Linked DNA regions of Yarrowia lipolytica. Each later gene encodes a partner of the first gene's protein in a complex. Links are inferred from orthologs where the notes say so. Each region holds a gene or a part of one and is shown in the gene's direction. Other genes may lie near its edges.

Region 1 (10,678 bases):
GAGAACAACAAACTCAGAGCCGTGATTGAAGAGCTGCGAAGCGAGGTGGAAATGCTACGGGCACTCAAAACCCAGGACTCGCGCGAATCTCTGTACGGCTTCGTCGACGCCAACCCGCTGGCTGTTAGAAGTTCCATGTTTCCCATGTCAGAACGAGCACGGCAACAGAGAGAGATGGAGAAGGAACGCAAGAGCAACTTGGACAAGGAAAACGAAAACGAAAAGAAACCAGTAGCTATCCTCCCCAAAGCCCGACCGCCCCGAAAACGACGAGAATCGGTCATCACCATTGCTGACGATACCCCAGGTGCCCAAACTGCGAATAACAGCACTGGCCATCATCACCATCAACATCAACATAACCACCATGATATCACGCCAATGAAACCGGACGAGGAACCCGACGACTGTGGACTGTGTGAGACTGGAGGAAATTGTCTCTGTGATACCCTGGGACTCAAGGCACCTCTTCCAGCTGAGGACCAAAACACGTACATTGTTGGCGGCGTCAATCTCAGTGAAATCAAGCCTGTTGCTGCTGTTCCCCTCAAGAAGCGCCCTGCCTCAAATGGGACGTCTATGATAATCCGAAAGCGGTTCAAGCGCGTGTCTGAAGCCAACGAAATCGATTTTACAAAGACTTTTGGCTCCAAACCCACGACTCCACCTGTTCCTGAGCCTGTACACGTCCATGGTCCCGATTGCAAACATTCAAAGACCCAAGTCGCCAAGATCTCGCGAACACCGTCCATCTCTAGTCTCAACAGTCCTGTGGACAGCAACTTTGTAGATAAACCCTCCCCTCAGGTGGATCCCTGTGGGTTCTGTTCCAACGGCACTCCTTGTCTCTGTGCTGGTCTTGACGAAGAGGAGGGAGCTGAAAAGCCCTGCTCTAGTGCCCTCAAGCCAGACAAGCCGGAAGTCATTGAGATTACAGACCACGCCGTCGACCAAGTGGCCAACGAGATGGCAGAGGTCTCGGTCACCGAAGAAGATCTGTCGTCCTGTCTGTGTGCTAAGGACCCCAAGGCTAACCTCTTTTGCACTGTGTTGAAAACTTCTGCCAGGCCCTGTGCTGAGTCCTCTTCTCCCGTCCTGGTGCCCTGTACAGACGCCTACAACATTCTCAGTGGCCATGCCCGATTTGCCAACTCTTCTCTCGGCACTCTTGTGAGCATGCTGCGCACCAGGAATGGAAAAGTTGACGTTGATTCGCTTTATGCTGCCCTCGGTACTCTTGATGAATGAAGATCGATATGATACACGACCAATACTACAACTACAACTACAACACAACACGACCTGACGATACATGCTATGAATAAACTACGATAATAACGAAACGAGCAAACGACAAATACCTACGACAAATAACCGACGAAATGACTGTATATAAAATAATGAATTATGAGTGTAAAGAATAGCAAGATTGTGTAGCTACTTCAGATGAATACAACTTCAGATGAATACAACGTCATACTCGTCAATGGCTTAATTATATCTATCAGATCTCTACAAGCAAGCCATTTCGAGTCAACGGCTCACATTTACCTTACTGGTTCTATCATACTCATCCATTCAATACATCTAGATCTTGGAGAGGTTGACGCCCTCAACGGCAGAGTCGGAAACAAACCAGAAAACGGGTCCGGTAGCGACCTTGTTGACAATGGCAGAGGGAAGAGTGGGCTCGGGCTCCTCGAAGATCTGCTTGAGGACAGGGGCCTTTCCGGCTCCCTCGGCGACGAAAGCGATGGCCTTGGCAGCCTTGAGAACGGGGAAAGTGATGGTGATTCGTCGAGGAGGAGGCTTGGGAGAGTCCTCAATGGTGGCGACAAACTTGGTCTCCTCCTTGAGCAGAGCGTGTCCAGGGAACAGCGAGCAAGTGTGGCCATCAGGACCGCATCCGAGCAGAATGAGATCGAAAACAGGCACTCCCTGGCCGTTGAGAGGCACATTCTTGACAATCTGCTCCTGGTAGTCCTTGGAGACGGCATCAGAGTCGTTCAGAAGAGACTCCTTGACGGTGAAGACCTGTGGTTGCTGATCCTTGGGGATGTGATCGAGCAGATCCTTCTTGAGGAGACCGTAGTTGGAGTCGGCATCGTCCAGCTTGACCAGCCGTTCGTCGGAGAAGAAAATCTTCCACTTGGGGAACTTGGTCTCCGAGTTGTTGACCAGACCCTTTCGGAGAGCAGACACCAGAGAGCCTCCAGATACGGCAACATGGAAAGCTCCAGTGGCAGCAATTGACTCGTTCTGGAGTCGAATGATCTCAGCGGCAGCAGCCTCAGCGACCAGTTGCGATTCGTTCTTAGAGATGACCTTGGGCATTGTTTTTTTGATGTTTCTTTGTGTGAAGGAGTGATCAAGAAGCAGATATTGTACGTCAGAAACGTTGTGCCTTCATATGTATGCGTGTAATCAAGGTTCGATCTGTTCTTTCGGAGCAATGAGCAATGGACGATTATGTAAGCGGAGGAATAATAAAACCCCCCCAGGCCCATTGCGTGTCCAAGTAGCTGTTTCCGTTTATCCCTCATGACATGCCAGGATGACACTCGGCGGCTCGGCTAGCTCACCCAACAGCAGCAAGCAGCATATACTATTTTAGAGTGGTCTTTATTAGAGGCTGTTTTGGGGCTGTTTTGGGGCTGTTTTGGGGCTGTTTTGGGGCTGTTTTGGGTGCCGTTTGTGAGGTGGGACTTGGCATTGGGGCATGTCAGAAGGCGATGACAAGTTACTGTAGCGTTTACTGAGTGGGTTATAGACGTGAGCGTGATTGGTATGGAGGTTGATACAAGTCCGTGAAACATATGACATCCTCACTACCACTACTCCACTGCGCCATGACGTCACATGCGACCCAAGAGACCTACTGGTGCAGCATTGTAGCTAGCGGAGGGTGTACCGGTATGGGCACAACTACAGGTAGCACAGTGGTGGTATAGGTTTTAGGCCTTCGTATAGCGGCAGCATAGATCCGTATAAAGCCGATTGATGGTGTGAGAGCCCGGTTAACGATAGAGGAACGTGGCGGGAGCAATTAAAACCTCCAAAGGTGTAGTTGCCTGAATGCACGAACGAGACGAGACCGGTTCTACCACAGATGTCCAAACACGACCGGGAGCAACATGCTCTGTATCTCAAGGACCAAATTCAGGGGCTGGAGGAGGTGATTCCGGACCAGCAGGAGGAGGTTGATAGCAATCAGGAGAACTACGACGAGGCCATGGAGAAGGTCGAGGCTGCCCAGCTTGAAGCCGACGAGTACAAGGGCCATCTTGACGATGCTGTGGCCCGCCTAGAGGGCAGCCAGGAGGAGCTGGATGAGTACAAACGAGAACTTCGAGATCTGGAGCATGAGGGCAAAAAGAAGGCCAAGCTCGATCACGACCAGGACAATGACGACTCAGACGACGAGGAAGAAGGCGACGAGGAAGAAGAAGAAGAGGGCGACGAGGATGAGGAGGACATTGAGGGAGCTTTTGTCATCAAGTTTTAGTTAGAAAAGTATTACAGTATATCATGGAATAGATGTGTTGAAGTATGACTCCAAGTTCTCAGGATAGAGTTCTCTATGTGGCAGAAGGTGCATGAGTGCAGGTGGGGGGGTGCATGTTCTTGCACTGACGGTTGAACCACGATGACAATACCCTACGGCCGCAACTACTATATGGTGGGTTTGGTAGCCACTGAATATGTAGCCGGACCGTATTGTGTCACTTAAAATCACATGTTTGATCCTCTTCTCGTCACCTGACCACCTCCAATCGAGGGAACCCCCGGCAAGTGCATCCACCAGCACTTCATTCAGCCCCACATCCCAAAGAGGATATCAATGAGGCAGAGTGAATGGAGTCTTCGGCTCAACATATAATTATGGCGCTGTAACCCCCCTCAACTTCCTCCAACACATCTCAAGCCATCCGCGACCACTTAATTATCTGAACGCCCCTACCACCCGAACAATGGGATGTGTACCTTCGAAACCCGAGTACGGGGCTGAACATGACCAGCATCTACTGATTGAAGAGAATATGCGATTTAGAGTCGGAAAACTAAGCAGCTCCAGATCGTTTGACGACTCCAAACCCCCCAAGCTACTGCTTCTGGGTACCGGCGAGTCTGGCAAGTCGACCATTCTCAAACAAATGAAGCTCATCCACGGCCAGGGCTTCACCCATCAGGAACGCAGTCTGTATGCTCAGGTTATGTGGGAGCAGGCTTTCGTCCAGATGATGGAAATTGTGCGCCAGGCACGGTTCTTGGGCATTTCTTTGGATTGCGACGATCCACACAGCGTTCTGAACAGTCATATGACCCTGCTCACCAATGCAGACCCCAACGACTCCGCTATGCCTGACTGGGATGCGCTTTATGAAGACATCAAAAGCCAAAGGAGGTTTATGGAGGGTGAGAATCTTCCCATGGTTTATACAGACTCGCCGCTCAAGTTTGCCGACAATGTCCTCAAGGTGTCGCCAGCCGAGCGGCCACAGATTGCACACGCCATTTCAGAGCTATGGACTAAAGATACAGGAATTAAGCAATGTTTTGCCCGCTCAAACGAGTATCAGCTGGAAGATGCGGCGTCATACTACTTTGACAATGTGCACAGTCTTGCCGACCCTTATTACCTGGCCTCAGACGAGGATGTCATCCGGGGAAGAATCAAAACCACAGGTGTTTCGGAAACCCCTTTTCTGGTGGGCGGCCAGATGCTCAGCATTATTGACGTAGGAGGTCAAAAAAGCGAGCGTAAGAAGTGGATGCACTGCTTCGATGACGTAACCAGTGTGCTGTTTGTGGTTGCACTGTCGGAGTACGACCAGGTTCTGTATGAGGACTCTGGCGTGAACCGAATGCAGGACTCCATCTGCCTGTTTGACTACATCTGCAACTTCAAAACGTTCATCGACAAGCCGATCATTCTGTTTCTCAACAAATGCGATCTGTTGGAGGCCAAGCTAAAGAAATCGCCTGTTCGCAAATACTTCCCTAGTTTCAATGGACCAAATGAAGTCACTGCGGTTAAGGCTTTCTTTAAGAATCTCTTTCTGGCCCAAAATAAGTGCGGACCGTCCAAAGAGATTTACGTCCACTTTACCTGTGCCACGGACACTGAGAACATGCGTTTTGTCATGGCCGCCGTGACAGACATGGTCTTGTCTGCCCAGCTAAGAGAGACGGGTATTATTTAGGGGGGAGAGGAGAAGGACGTTTTTAGATATTACTAATCATGTATGTATACGAACAACTTGACCGAAATGCATGAGATATTATCCCTTGCTACAGTGATGGTACAGTTGTGCAGTATGTCCGAGCCCGAGTATTTTCGGTATTGTACTTCAACTGTACTTGATTTTTTACTTTAATCTTCTTCTACAGTAACTAACACCAGTGCGTCGACGCAACTACAGTAGGATACAAGAGCTAAGTCGTAGATACCTGGGACCAAAAAAAACCGACAGACAAGTGATTAAATGATCATTAATTATGAAAATGTATCTATCTAGTGGGTCACGTGATTATACGCACTCTACACCGGCTCGTAGCCGCTATAACATGGCAAATCACTCATAGGCTTATTCAGCATTTGGGAGGCAGTACAACCCTGAAACACAGCTTCTTAAAGCACCACTATAGCTACAACGAGCCCCAATCAAGTTAAGTCATATCTATTCCTCTCAATAGCTCTCCAATTGAGCAGCTTTGGCGTCGAGAAATATGATCCCCGTCATTCTACAAACATCCACCCAATCACAGGACGCCATTCGTGTGGTTAGGGCAGATCCCAAACGGGAAAACTCAAAGTCGAACATCCCACAGCACATTAGCAAAGTGAAAGAAGCCCGAGACAGAACAGGAGTCTGACGAGACGAGATACACAAAAAATCACACAATGATCCGAACCATCGCCCGATCTACCCGAGTGGCCCGACCCGCCACCCGAGCCTACTCTACCGCTCCCCACCCCGTCGCTGTGCCTCCCGCCCCCACCAAGATCCAGCCTGCCGCCAACTACTCTGCCCAGGCCAAGACCGCTGCTGTTGAGAACGCCGCTGCCAACACTGCCAACAACGCTGCCAACACCGTGAACAACGCTGCCAACAACGCCGCCAACGCTGCCTCCAACGCTGCCTCCAACGTGTCGTCCGCTGCTCAGGGAGCCTCCACCGGTGCCCAGGCCACTGCTAAGGCTGCCCAGGCCGGAGCTACCATCGGCTCTTCTGCCCAGAAGCTCAAGCCCCGAAAGAAGTCCAGCGTGCGAGGAACTCTGCTCGGATTCCTGCTCGGCACCACCCTCACCGGCTTCGGCGCTTACTCCTACCTGGTGGACCAGTACCGACAAGCCAACAACGTGATCATTGCCGACGTCATCGCCCTCAACGGATCCATCCGAAACCTCGAGGAGCAGGTCAAGCAGTTGCAGCTCAAGAAGGATTAGCATGTAGGATAATAGATGGTTTGATTAGATTGAATGAGTGCAGAACTGAGTGTGTAGTATGAGGTTCTACATATGGTGTTGGAAAAGTCGATCTTTGTCCATGTCAGAATTACGTACATGTCAAAATACTCATACAATGATACCATATGGGTATCAAGTGCCATTGTAATCGTTATCTGCATTTCCGTAGTTGAGAGATCACAGGCAATCGATGTTCCAAGCTCCATGTATAATTGAAGAAAGTCTACAACGGCAATATCATTGTCTGCCCAACAATCTCACCCCCTCACAAATACCCACTACACCCAACCCCAACCACCAACCCCTTCCGCGTAACTGTTTCTCTCGACCAAGTCATATTTACCCTGTCTACATAGGACGTGTTATCTCCGGAAAAAATCCAATAAATCACGCTTGGCCTTTCTACCCACCCCTTTAGCGGAGTCACGGTCCTGACCCTTTCTGGTGCCTTTCTCAGTTCCATTCTGGGTGTCGTGCTTGGAACGCTTCTTGTTTCGATAGGAAATGGTATCCTTCATATAACGTGGCATGGAAGCAGTGCTCTTCATAGTGTAGCTTTTCTTGTTGCCGTAAGGACCCCAGCCACTGTCACCCAAATGGATGCTCCCCCCATACTCTAGCATGTGAACAGGCGAATATGATTCCAACGGGGTAGGCGAGCGGTACATCTTGCTCAGGAACAGGGAGTTTTCGAGATGCGAGCCCTGTTGCTCCATTCTGGCCGCACCATTTTCAAGTCGTCTGGGGACCTTGGATCCCGATCCCGGAGACGGGAAGAACGTGTTCTCCGAATGCTCTCCAGTTAGAGGCTCGTAGATTCGCAAGTCTTCCACAGGGTGAAACGTGACGCTTCTTATGGTGGAGTAGTCCTGTTCTTCGACTGCTTCTTTTTCCCGTCGAATCTGGCTACGGTACTGCTCCATGATCGACTTGGAGACACTTGTTTGGCGCAAATCAGACGGCTTGACCATACAGATGCTCGTAGGCCCGGGGTCGTTGTCCATACTGGTGAAGTTCGTTGATAGATCTACGGGGTCCACTCCGTCACCATAGGTCACGTACTGGGGGCTCGTCATCTTCTGCGCCGTGGTCATGACTGCACTTCCGTCCCATCGAGTCGAGGTAAGCGAGGGTTGGTTGATAGGAGCCGAGTTGAGCTGCGGTTTCGTTTTGTATACAGACTCGGCAGTCTTGCAGTTGAGCCTGTTGCTGGAGGGTTGTAGCACGCCCAGAGGTATCGTTTCAGGCTGCCCGTAATGGTTATGATCAATCGCGGATCGATACGATGTCATCGTAGCATTGTCCATGACAGCGGAGTCTACCAATGTATCAACTTGTATCACGGTGGTATCTCACTGATCGAATGAATGGGTCGGTGGTATCTAGCGATATTTGTGTAGCAAGCTGGTGAGTGTGTTGAAGGCGTGTTACAGAGACTTGTTTTAGCGAAGAGTACAAATTGGATTAGGTTTCGGTGCACGTTATCGGAGGTATGTGGGGTGGGGTTGAGATAATGCTGTACACTGAAGGTAGCTACGAGAGTGGAGAACCAAGGAACCAAGGATATAGAGAGCCTTTGATCAGTTCGATGGTATTTCCATTGGACCGGCGAAAGTAAATGTCTATCGAAAACACTGATAGTGTATAGATGAACTGTGTCTAACTTGAGTAAATAAGTAATTACTTGACAAGCCTACATCTCCTACTTGGTGCGTTTGTTAGAAGTGATTATTACATTATATAAAAAGTTTATGCAAAAAAAAAAATTGATTGTTATTCTTTATTATAAAAAATAGCTCATTGTTACTGTACAGTACATACTGTACTATTATTGCAGCTCCTACAAAGTTGCAAACACGGACTTGGGGACATTGACCCTACTTGTAGTACGATACTGTACACCACATCCTCGTACAAGTACTCGTAGAATCACAGTATCTTCGCAAAGATGGTTGAGTAGCCATATTGTGGGGGGATCGACGTTGTCAACTGTCTTTCATGTCGATCTTTGGAGTAATGAGACAGGGTAGAGTGGGGTGTAAGGAGGTTGAAAAGTGTTTTAGATCCGCACAGTGCACTCTAACTGAGATGATCTGCTTAGTTATGCTACATTCCGCCTTCATTATCTCATGGTCATGTAAGGTATCCCGGTGTGCACACTTGTTGTATGGGTATGTACTCGTACCTGGTTGTCATGTCATTCACATCTCTCATATTATCCTAGTTGAATAGCTTCCAGGACATCTGTCACCCAATCACGTCCGTAGCTGACAATCAGTACATACTGTTCAGTTCATAGCGTGTGATGTCTCGGAGAAAGAAACATTGATGCAGCAACAATAGCCGGTCTACCAGTACATGATATCTTACCTCCGTGGTATAAGCCTGAATATATACGAGTACATACGATACAAGTGAGATGCACCTCGTAATTGTACAGCACCTTGTCTTCTGAGACATTGGATGCGCCATTTCAAGTACCATATGGGTACATACTTGTACCTTGGTGGGTCTGGATACCAAACCACCAATAAGGAAAAAGGTGCAACTACTCGATGATATTCGTAGTTCACTACAAGTCTCTTTTCCCCTCAGATCTACAGATCAGCCTATCTACTCGACAATGTATATTCCACATCCAAAAGAGGGAGAATCACATGAAGTCAATACGTAGTTGTAGTTGGCTGCCAACCCCGCGGTTCCTGCTTTTAAACCTACACGGTGAGTTGTAAGACATTGGCCCAAAGTGGACGTCTGATAATGTGCCAACGGAGTTTTCTATTTCCGCTCTATTGGCATGTGAAGATACTTCTGTGGGGGTGATTAGGACCATCTACATACAAATTATCTCATATATTGAACCGGGTGTACTCCCAGTCTTATGCGGCGTCGGTAAAAATAGTCGTATATTGAACACAATGCCTTAGTAGGACCACACAGGCTACTAACAAGGAAGCCCAAAGACGCATCAATTCTTCCGGGGTTAACGGTGGCAGCGGCATTGCAAGGGTAACGTCGCTGGGCGCCTCTACGTTTAATCCTTGTGTCCCTTTATGACATTGTGGGGTGCAGTTCAGCTGCGTCCAAACGTACGCGCGGACTATTCAAGAGACCTTGGCCCTGTCGATTCGGTGAAGTTTAGTGTCCTTTTGGGTGACTTATACGAAGCAAATTTACTGGAATTGTTTTGTTTTCTTGCGCCTTGTCCGCGACGACAGTAAACATAAACATCATCAGTCCAGAAACATACCAAGCAATTGACGACCGACTTTATGACACCTTTCAAGGAGTCCTGTCAGATCTCAAGTTATCGTTCCTGTACCTGATGCCCTCTAGAAACCGATGCCCTCTCATCATCTAAATGATTAATTAATGCACATCACCTTTCCCTGCGACAGACGTCCTCTGTAAGGTGACGATCGTCGTGCCGATCCAGATGAGGTCCCCCCACCTTGAAACAGGCCTAGATCTGTAATAACTCTGAAACCAGAGGTCTTGTGACAATGGAGAGTTGAAATTTGGACTCGGAGCATGTCTTAACCCCACCATCCTGATTTCCTCCAACTCTGTACCTGTACTCCACCCGTCTCCACCTTTACACATTAATGAGACATGGGGGTGTCATAAGTGGACAGATCTATACATGGACCGATGAGCCCTATATAAATACTGCGCTGTACGGTGATAAATGACATTCACTATTGGCATCATGAACCTCACGCTCGGGCAAGTGGTTGCTTACCTCTATGCCTCCCTCTTCGGCGAGCCACCAGCGACACTTTCAAAAACTCGAGTTCAAGCCTCCCAGGAGCTGTACAACTTTACGGCCAAGTTTTCTCGGATTGCAAACATCGCCTACTGTGTCAATGCGCCAGTCACTCCTCTACGAACTGATTTTACATGTGGAGAGAGTTGTCGGTATTTCCCGAACATGACGTTGGACTCAGTCTTCGGAGGAGACTTCTATTCCACTTCAATCACCGGATACATAGCTTATGATCACCTCAACAAGGAGAAATATGTTGTTATTCGAGGAACATTCAGCATTCCAGATGCTGTTACCGACATCCAGTTTCAACAGTCTCCGTGGTTGGTCGAGCTTCCTAAGCACCTGATCCCTACCCAAGACGATATGAAACAGAGATGGGCAGTCCGACCAGACTTGGAAGTGGAGAACAAAGGTCTTGACAACCTCAAAGAGCGGGC
Region 2 (10,699 bases), about 1.3 Mb from region 1:
ACATCTGTAACCACACCCTTGAAGTCTCGTTTTCGGTTCCGAGTGAACTCTCCTTTAAGTGCGTTCGTATTAGAATATTGGCGCGAAATGGCATCGCCATTGTCGGCCCACATGTGGTAGTAAGCCGATGATACAATGTTGTCAGCATCGTGATTGAGCTCTTCCAGCTGCTGTTCGAGCACTCTTTTGGCAATCTCAGTCTGAACAACATTGGTTCGGTCGAGACAGTCGATGCAGTTCACTCTGAAGATACCAGACTGGACCACAGACGTTGGGTTGCCCGTTTGCAGGTTCAAACCGTCCCACAGAAAGTTGTCGACTCCTGCCTGCACAACATCGCTGTTAAACAGCTCGGAAACACGCTCAAACTTCATACCTTTGCAGGCGTGGTGGAAATCAAACCATTCGAGCTCCTTACCGTTCTGCTCGCACAGTTTTTTGTACAGATTTCCAACCTTGAACTCGTTAGAGGTCGAAGACGCTTCAACCAGATTGACGCCTGTAACAGAGCCATAGTGGCTCTCAATACGGTCGAAATGAGTGTTGAAGACTTTGCGAGTAGCTTCGGCTCCTCTGAGAACACGGGGAGTGGGTTTTAGCTTATACGGACTCTGCTGGAAGAAGACAGGCAAAGAACCTCGGACAATCACGTACGAAAGAATGTACTTGGGTGTAACCAGAAGCTGCTCGGTTTCGACCCAGTTGGCACAGTTGGCATCATCGTCAATACCTCTTCGGAGATACCGAGCTCCAATGCGGTGTCGTGATCTCCGAGAAATGAGTACCACGGAGATGTTGCTGGATTCGGGCTTGACTTGTCCCACATGACCTTGGATTATCTTGAGCTCAAACTCGGTGTCTTTGAACAATCTGTTTCTATTGTAATTCAGGTAGTATGAAGAACATTTCGACTCCTTATTCAAAAGACCCTGTTTGAGAGATTGATGTAGGTTGAGCTTAGGAGAGTAAAAGAGAGCCCCTGAAGACAGGAATTTTTGGCACTCTCTGATAAACTTGAGAGTCGAGGGAGACACAGGAGAAGGTGTGCCTGTTTCGGTTTCTGAGGGCTCAGAATCAGCGACCGAAGAACCTCTCGACTCGTTGGAGTCTGTGGACCGTCGCGGTTCGGCAGTGGTGTTATTTTGAGAGGCTTCAAAAACGGCTCTGGCTCGCTGGTAGGACAGAGGAATCAGGAGAGCCCCGGTGATCTTGTAGAGGGGAGCATTTTGCAGAGTAGCAACCTGTTCTCGTTTGGTGATGACTGCCAGCGAGTGCACATCAATAGGAAAGATGCCAAAAATGCCCAGGCACTCTAGAGACGGGCTTTCTGTATCGACCGAGGCTCCATCTGTGTCATTTTGTGAGTCCGTATCGTCCTGGAGTGTGGTGAGAGATTTGGTAGCGAAATCAAGCAGTGATCTCGTGCCGTTTTGAGACTGTAGTGTCAGTCCCTGTTGTGTTAGGGTGATTTGCATGGCCTAACGAATGGTGAAGCGAATGGATGGATGTGTAACGATCGACGATTTGAGCGAGTGGAATACCGGGGGCTCCTGAGACGGTCTCGAGATAAACCCTTGTTTTGATCAGATGAGTTTTAATTACATCTCCCTGTGCGCATAGTGTGCCTCTCTCATGCACAGGCTGTAAACTCTGCCACCACCTAGAACGAGATAAGCGACGACCCAGAGTTTGGGATACCTTACGGGGTCGGAAATACGACCTGTACGACGTGAGCGAGAGGCGAAAATAAAAAGCAGGAGATACTGAAATTTTAGACAATCGCAATATCGCATGGCATAAGAGTATTACTGCCTGTAGCTAGTTGTAATTGACTTGTTTATTTCTTAGCTACTGTTGGCTATGGTTGCCCTTATGGACATGATCAGCTGACTTATCTGTGTAATCCCGCAGAGTAAATGGTGCCGTGTGGTTCTAACGGCTGTTGGTCGCAGTTACTGTATACATTGGTACACTACATCCTATCAGCATACTTTGCAACCCCTGCATCACGTGATCGATAGCTTGATGTTACTTATTGATACTGAGACACCGCGGTTACAGTAGCTTCTGAGGGGGGTGCTGCTCAATGTTCGAGACACCATCTGCACTTGCAGATATCAGTAGGTACGAAACACTGGTGCGAGTACAGTATGCACCTGTTGGGCCACTTCATCAGCCCATCGACATATCACTGTAGCTACTGTACCTCTTCTACACCACTGGTACCGTCGCCACCCTATCATAACGGTAAAGACTATATATAATACGGGGTGGCGCCGCATGATGATTGCAACCCTGGGTGCCGCTCAACAATGGCTAGCTTCGAGTCTAGGCATTAGCCTGATGAGATGTGGAGTCGCAGACAAGCGAGACATTTATGTGCAGGCGAACACAGTCAAACGACCCCGGTCACCGTCCACGGAGAACATAAGCTTCACAGCAACTGTCGGGGACCGCCGAACCCATTTCCCACTCGTCTCAAATCTACTTGTAGAGACCATACAAGTAGCTACTGGTAATGCACCGTTAAACAGTTCAAAGTTTTTGCATATCTAAAACTGTCTACCAGTAGCTAGACTATACTGTGCGGCCAACAAAACGCCATACTAGCTCCACTACCACCAACCACCTCTTCCAGCATCTTGTCGAAGCTGCACACCCGCCAACCTCTCGCACGCACCGATTCCTGGGCATGTCCCTGCTCAGCCTGCCTCCAGAAACCATAGCCGTGATTCTCGCCTTTACCTCTGTTGAAGATCTCCACAACCTGCGAAACTCGTGCTGCTGTCTAAGAGAAGCAGTCGACAACAGCTCCCACGCTCTCACCGCCGCCAGGGCTCTCTGTGCACCATGGATGCAACCAGCCGACGGGTCCAGCGCAGCGGGATGGCTCTCCCTCGCCATGGCCGAACTGCGTCGTAGAGACACCATGCATGGACATGCACGACACCATCACCAAGCCGACTACCACCACACCTCCTACCATGACGCCCTGGATCTGACCTCTCCCACAGACGGACTGGCCTCCCTGCCGTTAGTAGAGTACGCCGAGGAGCCTGAGCCGGTCCAAACCATCAACCACAACCTCGCACCCGAAGCAAGCCTATATGCAGACATCTTCCCTGACGGAACGCTGTCGATATCCCGAGCAATATCCGACGAATACGAAACAAAACTGTGCTTTCGCCGCCAGATTGTCTTCACCCACAACTTCCCCATCTATCCACAAACCTATGGCGACTATGCATCAAATGTGTACACCCCTCCGGTAGACGGTGTTCAAGAACTCAATTACGCCCGCAAAACGTGGTTTTGGAGAGTAGTTAGAAATATACTGGAGGATGACCGTGTAATTCGCCGCTTCCACGTGTCCAAGGCCATGTACGACGGATATCTCACGGCTCTGCTTCGCTTACGCTCCACTAAACTGGCTCCAGGCATGTCTCCCGAAATGGAATGGCATCGGTTGGGTCACTCGGGCAGCAGTAGTGCTGGCTCTACTTCTGACTCCAGTACCGGCTCCATTGGCTTGTGTGAGGAATACGAGCTGTTGCGACAAAAGTGCATTGCTCCAGGTCGCCGGAATAACATCAAAACACAATCTATTCGCATACACATGCCGTGTTCCGAGTCCGCCCGTGTATTTGTGTACGGCCACGACACCTTTATTTGCATTTCCAACTCGCTTGAGGACCCTGTGTTGAAGCGGAATGACTTCTTCTGGGTTGACTGGGCCAACAGTAAGACGTTCCGTCTCTGTTCAACGATATCCCCCCATGGCCCCACGCATCCGCAACATCAGCATCATCCCTTCATAGTAGATAACCGCTTCTTTTTGCTGTATCGAAACCAGCTGGTTGAATGGGCCATGAATGCATCTTCTCAATTTGTGCCGATTGGTAAGACCAGGCTAGACCTGTCGTACAGACGCGACTTTTCGCTGATGCCCCTGCTCGATACCCGCACCCCTGTCATCACTGGTCAGATGTTTGTCGACACCAACAACAGGAGTTACTCCAAGGTGACGCTGGGAGACTCGTCCAACTCATTCCACGTGCTCGGAGTGCTCAATGGGCAGAAGCGCGACTGGACGTACCAGTATCTGCGGGAGCTGACGGAGAAGCTAGCCATGTACCGAATGCCTCTCAACACGTGGTGTCATTTGGACAAGATCTTGCCGCATGTGGTGCTCAGTGGTGGTGTCCAAGGTGAAGAGCAGGAGCGGATTCGAGGAGCAGTCTCGCCCACGCACTCTATATAAGCCATCATTTTTATTTAAACATAGACCCTTGATTTTTCACCTAACAAAGAAGCGACGATCAACCGAGTTTGATAGGCGCGGGGAGATGGAATACGGCAGGAACACAGCGATAGGGTTGTTTTTCGTTTCCTTTGGGCTACTCCTGAGTACAGTACAGTACATAGTACAAGGCCAATGTTGTACCTTGGAGGGTGAAGAATGTCGGGCCCTGTACACACTGTGGGACTACTTCTACATCTCTATACCATAACTTGCCTTGACTCACTGACGATCGTATAAAATATTTTTGTCTCATTACATGAGAGAATCTTGTTGGTGTAGATTAAGGTGTGCAAGGCCAAGCATGAAGACTTCCAGGGTCTATTAATTGGTTGCATTTGCCCGCTATTTTTGGCTGTCAAAAAATATTGGTTTCACCTCGACAGAACGCATAACAAGACCTTGCTCTGTGTCAATCTTGAATAGGCTTGGCCTGTGAGTTGCTACGGCCCTTCGATGGCTCCATTAAGCTGTTACAACGGCCGAGAGAAGCGCCAATGGTACAAGTAGTGACTTTGAGCTTGCCGGCTGCAGTATGGTTTTCCTTTTTCCAATGTGCAAATTGCCAGTGTTACATCAACGGATAAAGTTGGCGGTGGTGTTGCTGGAAAAGTTGAAAAGAACACAATAGCAGGTCTGATCGGGTAATGGGCACTTGACGGTCCGAATCGTAGCAGCTCAGAGTGCCATTTGTGCAGGAAATTGTGTAAATCTACTCCACCTAATCGCTTCCTCCACCCCTTGGAGAATTGTAACCATGAAGAGACTCCAGTGGGATCTACAGGTGTGTGTGAGAAGCTGCACTTGATAATAGGCCGAGGTCGGTTCTCTACAGCAAGCACAAACCTCCGCATTCTAATAAAATAACGTCATTTTCACCATCTTCATACGCCCCTGACCGTCACTTCAACAAGCTCTTTTAGATTGGTGGTGACAAGCACATGTATACATGTATACATACTCGTCGTCTACCCGGTACCTTATACTAGCGAGTCTACAGAGCGAAGATCATAAAGGTAGATTACACAGCTGAGTCTCCTCCTTCGTTGCTGTTGGGGCCGTTTGATAAAAAGTGGTCCCATTGCACCTCCCATCTTCGAACCCTGCATAATTTCTTCATATTCGGCAATTGACCATATCTGGTCTATAGGAACAAGTCAAGTGGTGGAGCATCTGTGGGGCTCAACGAGATAATTACACACGATAACACACACACAATATTTTCATGCCAACTAAACTATACTTTTATCCTCCTGATCAGCACAGTAATGATAATATTTGCCAAACGTTTTATTATTTGAAGACCCACTTATGTAAATTTTTTGGGTGTTCCGTTTGTGGCCCTTCCTTGTGTCGCCTTGCTATATGTATATTGTATATTACTCCGCATCTACTCCGCATCTACTCCGCAGAGCTCATGCAGTAAGCATGCACGCAGCTATAACGGGGAATCAATGTGGCAGACACGAATTGGTATTTGCATGGTGGAGTCCCCCACACTAGAAATTGCAACCAACTTGAACTCATCCACGCGCGAAAATGACAGATATTCTCCGGCCAGATACTCCCCCCTCCCCCACCGTTGAAGATCTCCATGAGCGGCTGTCGTTACTCAAAGGCAAATGTGCCGCCATGAGAGAGAACATTGTTCATCAGAGAAGCCAATTTATGAATGCCACCCTTCCAAGTCTTGCCACAGACCTCCGGCCCATCAGTTCAACCCCCCTGAAGGTGCGACACAAACTCAAGGGACACAGAGGCAAGATAAACAGCTGCGACTGGGCCTCCAACTCACAATATGTGCTCAGTGTAGCTATGGACGGTCTGGCTCTCATGTGGGACGCCTACTCGTCTCTAAAGTCCAGAGTCTTCCTTCTTCCAAGCTGCTACGTGCTCTCCTGTGCATTACCTCCCTCGTGTGGCTACCTGGCATCGGGTGGTCTAGATAACAGGGTCTCAATCCACTCCATGACTCAGTCGGCTGATGAGACAGACCCTTCTGTTCCCTACGGTTCAGGGTCGTCGACCAGAATGAAGGGACTTACCAAAAGCGAGCCCATGGCCATTCTCAAGGGACACTCTGCATATGTGGCGGACTTGTGTTTCCTGACTGACCAACAGATCATCTCAGCCTCCGGAGACATGACATGCTGCATCTGGGATGTCAATACAGGCCGACGTGTTTCGACCCTGTATGACCATCTAGGAGACGTCTCTTCTGTGACCAAACACCCCTCTAAGATGCAGATTGTCGCCACGGCTTCCAACGATAAAACAGTCAAGATCTGGGATCTCCGAATCGCCAGATGTGTCCAGACCTTTCAGGGGCACAATAAGGATGTAACTTCAGTGGACTTCTTTCCCGATGGAAATGCAGTTCTCTCTGGAGGTGACGATTCAACTGCAAGACTGTTTGACATGAGAACTGATTGCCAAATGAACATTTATAGTGCCCCAGACATAATGTCTCCTGTCAACTCGGTGGCTGTAACACCCTCAGGACGGATCATGTTCTGTGGCCATGACACAGGTGAAGTGGTAGCTTGGGACACCATCAAATGCACCTACCTCGGCCCAATCACGAAGCATCTTGGTCCTGTTACCAAAGTAAAGGTCTCCCCAGACGGAGTGGGTGTCCTATCTTCTTCTTGGGACGAAACTATGACAGTTCTGTCTCTGTAAGTGGAGGTCTACGTGTATGCAGTAATAACATCACATCAACCCGATATGAGAAATAATATGAAGCGGCTACAGAAGGTGCATGTCTATGTGTGTGCTGCGCTTGATAGTCGGTGGTATAATTTTGGTTTAATTGTCTACAAGTACAAGTACAAGTACCATACCATTGTTGACCAACACTGGAACACACTCTCTTTAGGTAGCTACTTGTACCCGGTTTAGATGTCATAACGACGCATCGAATTTGACCTAACCCCCAAATTATCATAAAAAAGGCCCTCCTACCAGATAAAGAATTGCCGGTTTAGCACTCCTGTCTACTCATTTCCACCCTTAATTGCATTTTAAATGACATAATGGCACTTCAAAAATCTGAGTTTTAAGGGGTCACGTGACACTGATTTTAGCTTGGGAGATTCTAAAAAAAGTTCAATTAAAAAAAACCCAGCGATGTGGCGCAGCGGAAGCGCGCAGGGCTCATAACCCTGATGTCCCTGGATCGAAACCAGGCATCGCTAATTTTTTGTCAATTTTTTTTGCTGTGATGGGTCATGATAAAGTTCTTAATCTGGGGCAGACGTGCAGAACAACAACTTTCATTAACGCATCCACCAACACCTTTTTGCACCAAATCATGGCACTACTGGTGAGTATGGGGAGAGGATAAGGCTTCCTAAGGGTTGCAACGAACACAACAAGCACTAACCAGCTCTGTTTTGCACATTTCTGCGACTTGCATGGCCCGACTTCGATACTGTGTTGTCAGAAAACGAAGGAGACCACACCAAACGAGTGTTCGACGTGCGCAAATTGCCAGCTGATCCTGCCAAATGATGCCACAACTCTACGATCTAATATTGGCGAGCACACATACGTGTCTTCTCAATGTGCCGTCGGGGAGGATGACTACTCCAAGGTTCGAAAGGCCTGTCTCAAGCTGCTGAGTAGTGAAACCACCTTCTCGGATACTCCTCTCATGTTTGGCGACTCATCTGGAGCCACCATTGGTTACGTGTTCAAGGTGAACGACAACGAGTCTCGTGGTGGGATTCGAAAGTACGGCTTTCTCTGTCTGGGGGAAGAAAAGCGTCTGATGGACAACTGGATTCCCATCACCGAGCGATTCGAAAGCATGGGAGGATGGATCAAGACACAGGTGACGAAGCATCAGGAGATGAAGGACAAGAGCGACTGGGCCGATTCGTTCAGACGAGAGGCGTTTACTAAACCCAAGAATCTCGTGAGCATGACCAAGGACGACGAGTTCTACGTCAAGGTGCATGCTGGTCTGAGTGATTTACTCAACAAGGTGGCGTAGCGGGGACGACGGCCTAGACGCTGGTGGAATACCAGCAGCTGGCTTCAACCTGTACTATCTATGAAGTCCTTGGTGTTGCTGAAACCGATAGTGAGACTCAATTCAAGGTACCAGCACCACCGGATTACTTCTACTTGTACAGTAGTTATCACATCACTGCATAATTATCACGGCTACATATGGTGACAAGTGCTAGAGGCCCCCCTGAAAGCTGAACTGGTCGCTCTGGCCATGTTGGTTGATATTTGCACTCTACTGTTGTCTTCGTACAAGTACCCTGTATCGTACTACGTACCCTGTATCGTACTACGTACCCTGTATCGTACTACGTACCCTGTATCGTACTACGTACCCTGTATCGTACTACGTACTCGTACTCGTACTCGTATACGTACGTACTGTACCTAACTTCTCCATACTCGTCCACCTAGACATGCCGTTTAGAGAAGCTACCAGGTCTCGTACCGCAGCAACCTGTGCCACGGTCTTGAATAACACCAATTCGTCATGCAGTACATACAACATAGCAGCAGTCCGATATTACCCCTTTTCAGCGTCTCCTGTTTTCATATTGATGTAGTTGCGCCTTAAACCACCAAACTCGTGCCCTGAACCAATCACAACGGTGCTAACGGAGTGCATTTTCACTGCAGTGTGTGTGTATGCAAGAGGGAGTGTACCAGAGGGTAAATATGGGGCAAAAACGGTAATGTGAGTGGTTAACGAAGTTTTCAATTGTAAAAAACATTGCCTCGCGGGGCTGGCTCATTATCAGAACGAGAACAATCGGATCTAGACACCTAAAGTGCGCACACTTTCTGTTCGCACGACCACTTATACAGTAAGTTTTCCGGAAAGATAAGGGTCTGGGTGAAGTTTGTTGAGATCAATCACATCATGTGGGGGTGCGCGCGCATATCTCGTCAGGAGAGTTGAGCACAGAGATGGAGACGATTTTTTGGTCAAACCATGTGGATGCGGTCAATTTTTCTCTCCAGGAATTTCTGCAGCTATTTTTTCCGATCAAATTCCATCCAAAATCACCCTAGTTGGCCTCAAATTAGTCGATATGGTGCCCTGTTGGGGCACACTCGAGTGAGTGGCGTTGTCAATTGACTTTGTGCGTTCGAGACGAGACAAGAGAGGCGTGACTATGCCGAGGTAACCGTGCAAGAGTAGCAACTTTTAGTCAAGAGTGGGATTATTGCGTGGAGATCATTGTATGTTAGAAACAGGCAATGGATCAAGGGGTATCTCTACATTACGAATTATTGTACAAGTAACCACAGGCTCGATGTATGATACAACTACGTACGATACCCGTCTAGTATTTACTGAAGCCTACGAGCCAGATCACATACAATCACACTACAGTTGCGAAATCAATATAGTAAATCATCAATTAATCAATAAATGATGCGCTTAGAGGTTGTTCTGAGCGTTCTTGAGGATACCCTCAATGGCGGCAGCCTTCATGACGTTGCCCTTAACCTTGAGCTTGCCGGTCATGAAGAGTCGCTGGGCGTTAGCCTTACCCTCAACGAGCTGCTGGAAGTGGTCGTCAGAGAGAGTGAGCTGGATGTCAGCATCACCCTTGGGGGACTTGTTGCCCTTGCCGACGTCACCGTCGTTCTTGAGGTCAAGGTACCAAGACTCGGTCTTGCCAGCCTTGTTCTTGAGGTTGAAGACAATGATGGCGTTGGCCTTCTTGATGGACTCAGCCTTCTGCTTGGCCTGAGAGGGGTCGTTAAGACCGTCACGGATGACGTCGAAGATGATAGAAGAAGTGAAGCCGTCGACCTTGAGAGACATTGTTGTTTTTGTGTAATGAATAAGAGATATTCTGGGGAGCTAAACCGGAGGATGCACCCTACCTATATATATGTCGTTAGATTGACTATATGCATTTAATGCTTGCTCGAGAGGGGCAGCATGTGATAGTTTTTACCGAGGTGTAGGGAGACAGCCAAGCGTGGGCACATTGCCCCGGACGAACCGACACGACACAAAGAAACGTGACAAAGCCTAACCCAGTTTGAGATTTATCCCCACAGAATCATTTGGAACAGTCCGGGGAATTAGTGGACATTTGCGGCATTTCTAACGCGGTTGATCCTGTAGCTTTTTGCGCATTCAGCTCAATTCTGCGCCATGAGTTCGGTATATTCATGCCCTAGGAACTACACGCTGGGCCTCTGCCTCAAACTGCCACCGTGTTCTTCCCCATGTGAATTTTACCACACACCCCAAAGAATCAAATCCAAAGAGCTTATTGGGACGAATAAGCTCGGTCCTACCGCCAGCCCCCACACATTGGTGGTCAACGCCGTCACAACCATCCAGTTGGCGGCGTTATAATTTTTTACCGTTGGAATGCTTTTGAGGTCAACAGAAGGGGTGAA

What was found. The genes of interacting proteins can lie anywhere in the genome.
Region 2: the proteins of YALI1_E14489g (region 1) and YALI1_E01904g are in contact, whole or in part, in a cryo-EM structure (PDB 7AD3), measured with the Saccharomyces cerevisiae proteins. The link is inferred for Yarrowia lipolytica from reciprocal best matches to the Saccharomyces cerevisiae genes GPA1 and STE4. Residues at the interface, in NP_011868.1 of Saccharomyces cerevisiae: Thr7, Gln8, Thr9, Ile10, Asn20, Lys21, Ala23, Asn24, Ile27, Glu28, Ser30, Leu31, Gln32, Glu34, Lys35, Asp38, Lys43, Thr301, Gly302, Ile303, Glu305, Leu318, Arg324, Ser325, Glu326, Lys329, Trp330, His332, Cys333, Phe334; in NP_014855.3 of Saccharomyces cerevisiae: Asn85, Gly90, His91, Asn92, Lys94, Ser104, Gln112, Asp113, Phe115, Leu117, Ala122, Ser123, Leu125, Lys126, Gln127, Asn128, Ala129, Gln135, Trp136, Leu138, Leu154, Asn155, Asn156, Arg168, Cys182, Tyr183, Asp224, Leu226, Ser248, Asp272.

What each region holds. Positions count from the first base shown.
Region 1 is NC_090774.1:1,442,179-1,452,856, reverse strand, and holds YALI1_E14489g (uncharacterized protein), read left to right. Parts: upstream 1-3,971; coding exon 3,972-5,204; downstream 5,205-10,678. Other genes in the region: YALI1_E14535g (uncharacterized protein), read left to right, coding at 1-1,248; YALI1_E14505g (uncharacterized protein), read right to left, coding at 1,588-2,334; YALI1_E14497g (uncharacterized protein), read left to right, coding at 3,110-3,505; YALI1_E14469g (uncharacterized protein), read left to right, coding at 5,906-6,451; YALI1_E14451g (uncharacterized protein), read right to left, coding at 6,835-7,779; YALI1_E14427g (uncharacterized protein), read left to right, coding at 10,161-10,678. UniProt on the Saccharomyces cerevisiae protein: Alpha subunit of the heterotrimeric guanine nucleotide-binding protein (G protein) that mediates mating pheromone signal transduction.
Region 2 is NC_090774.1:185,546-196,244, reverse strand, and holds YALI1_E01904g (uncharacterized protein), read left to right. Parts: upstream 1-5,839; coding exon 5,840-6,982; downstream 6,983-10,699. Other genes in the region: YALI1_E01947g (uncharacterized protein), read right to left, coding at 1-1,475; YALI1_E01935g (uncharacterized protein), read left to right, coding at 2,693-4,261; YALI1_E01885g (uncharacterized protein), read left to right, coding at 7,524-7,625, 7,689-8,297; YALI1_E01877g (uncharacterized protein), read left to right, coding at 8,358-8,441, 8,509-8,877; YALI1_E01865g (uncharacterized protein), read left to right, coding at 9,714-10,208. UniProt on the Saccharomyces cerevisiae protein: Implicated in the a- and alpha-factor response pathway. The beta and gamma chains of the putative yeast mating response pathway G protein play a positive role in initiation of the mating response.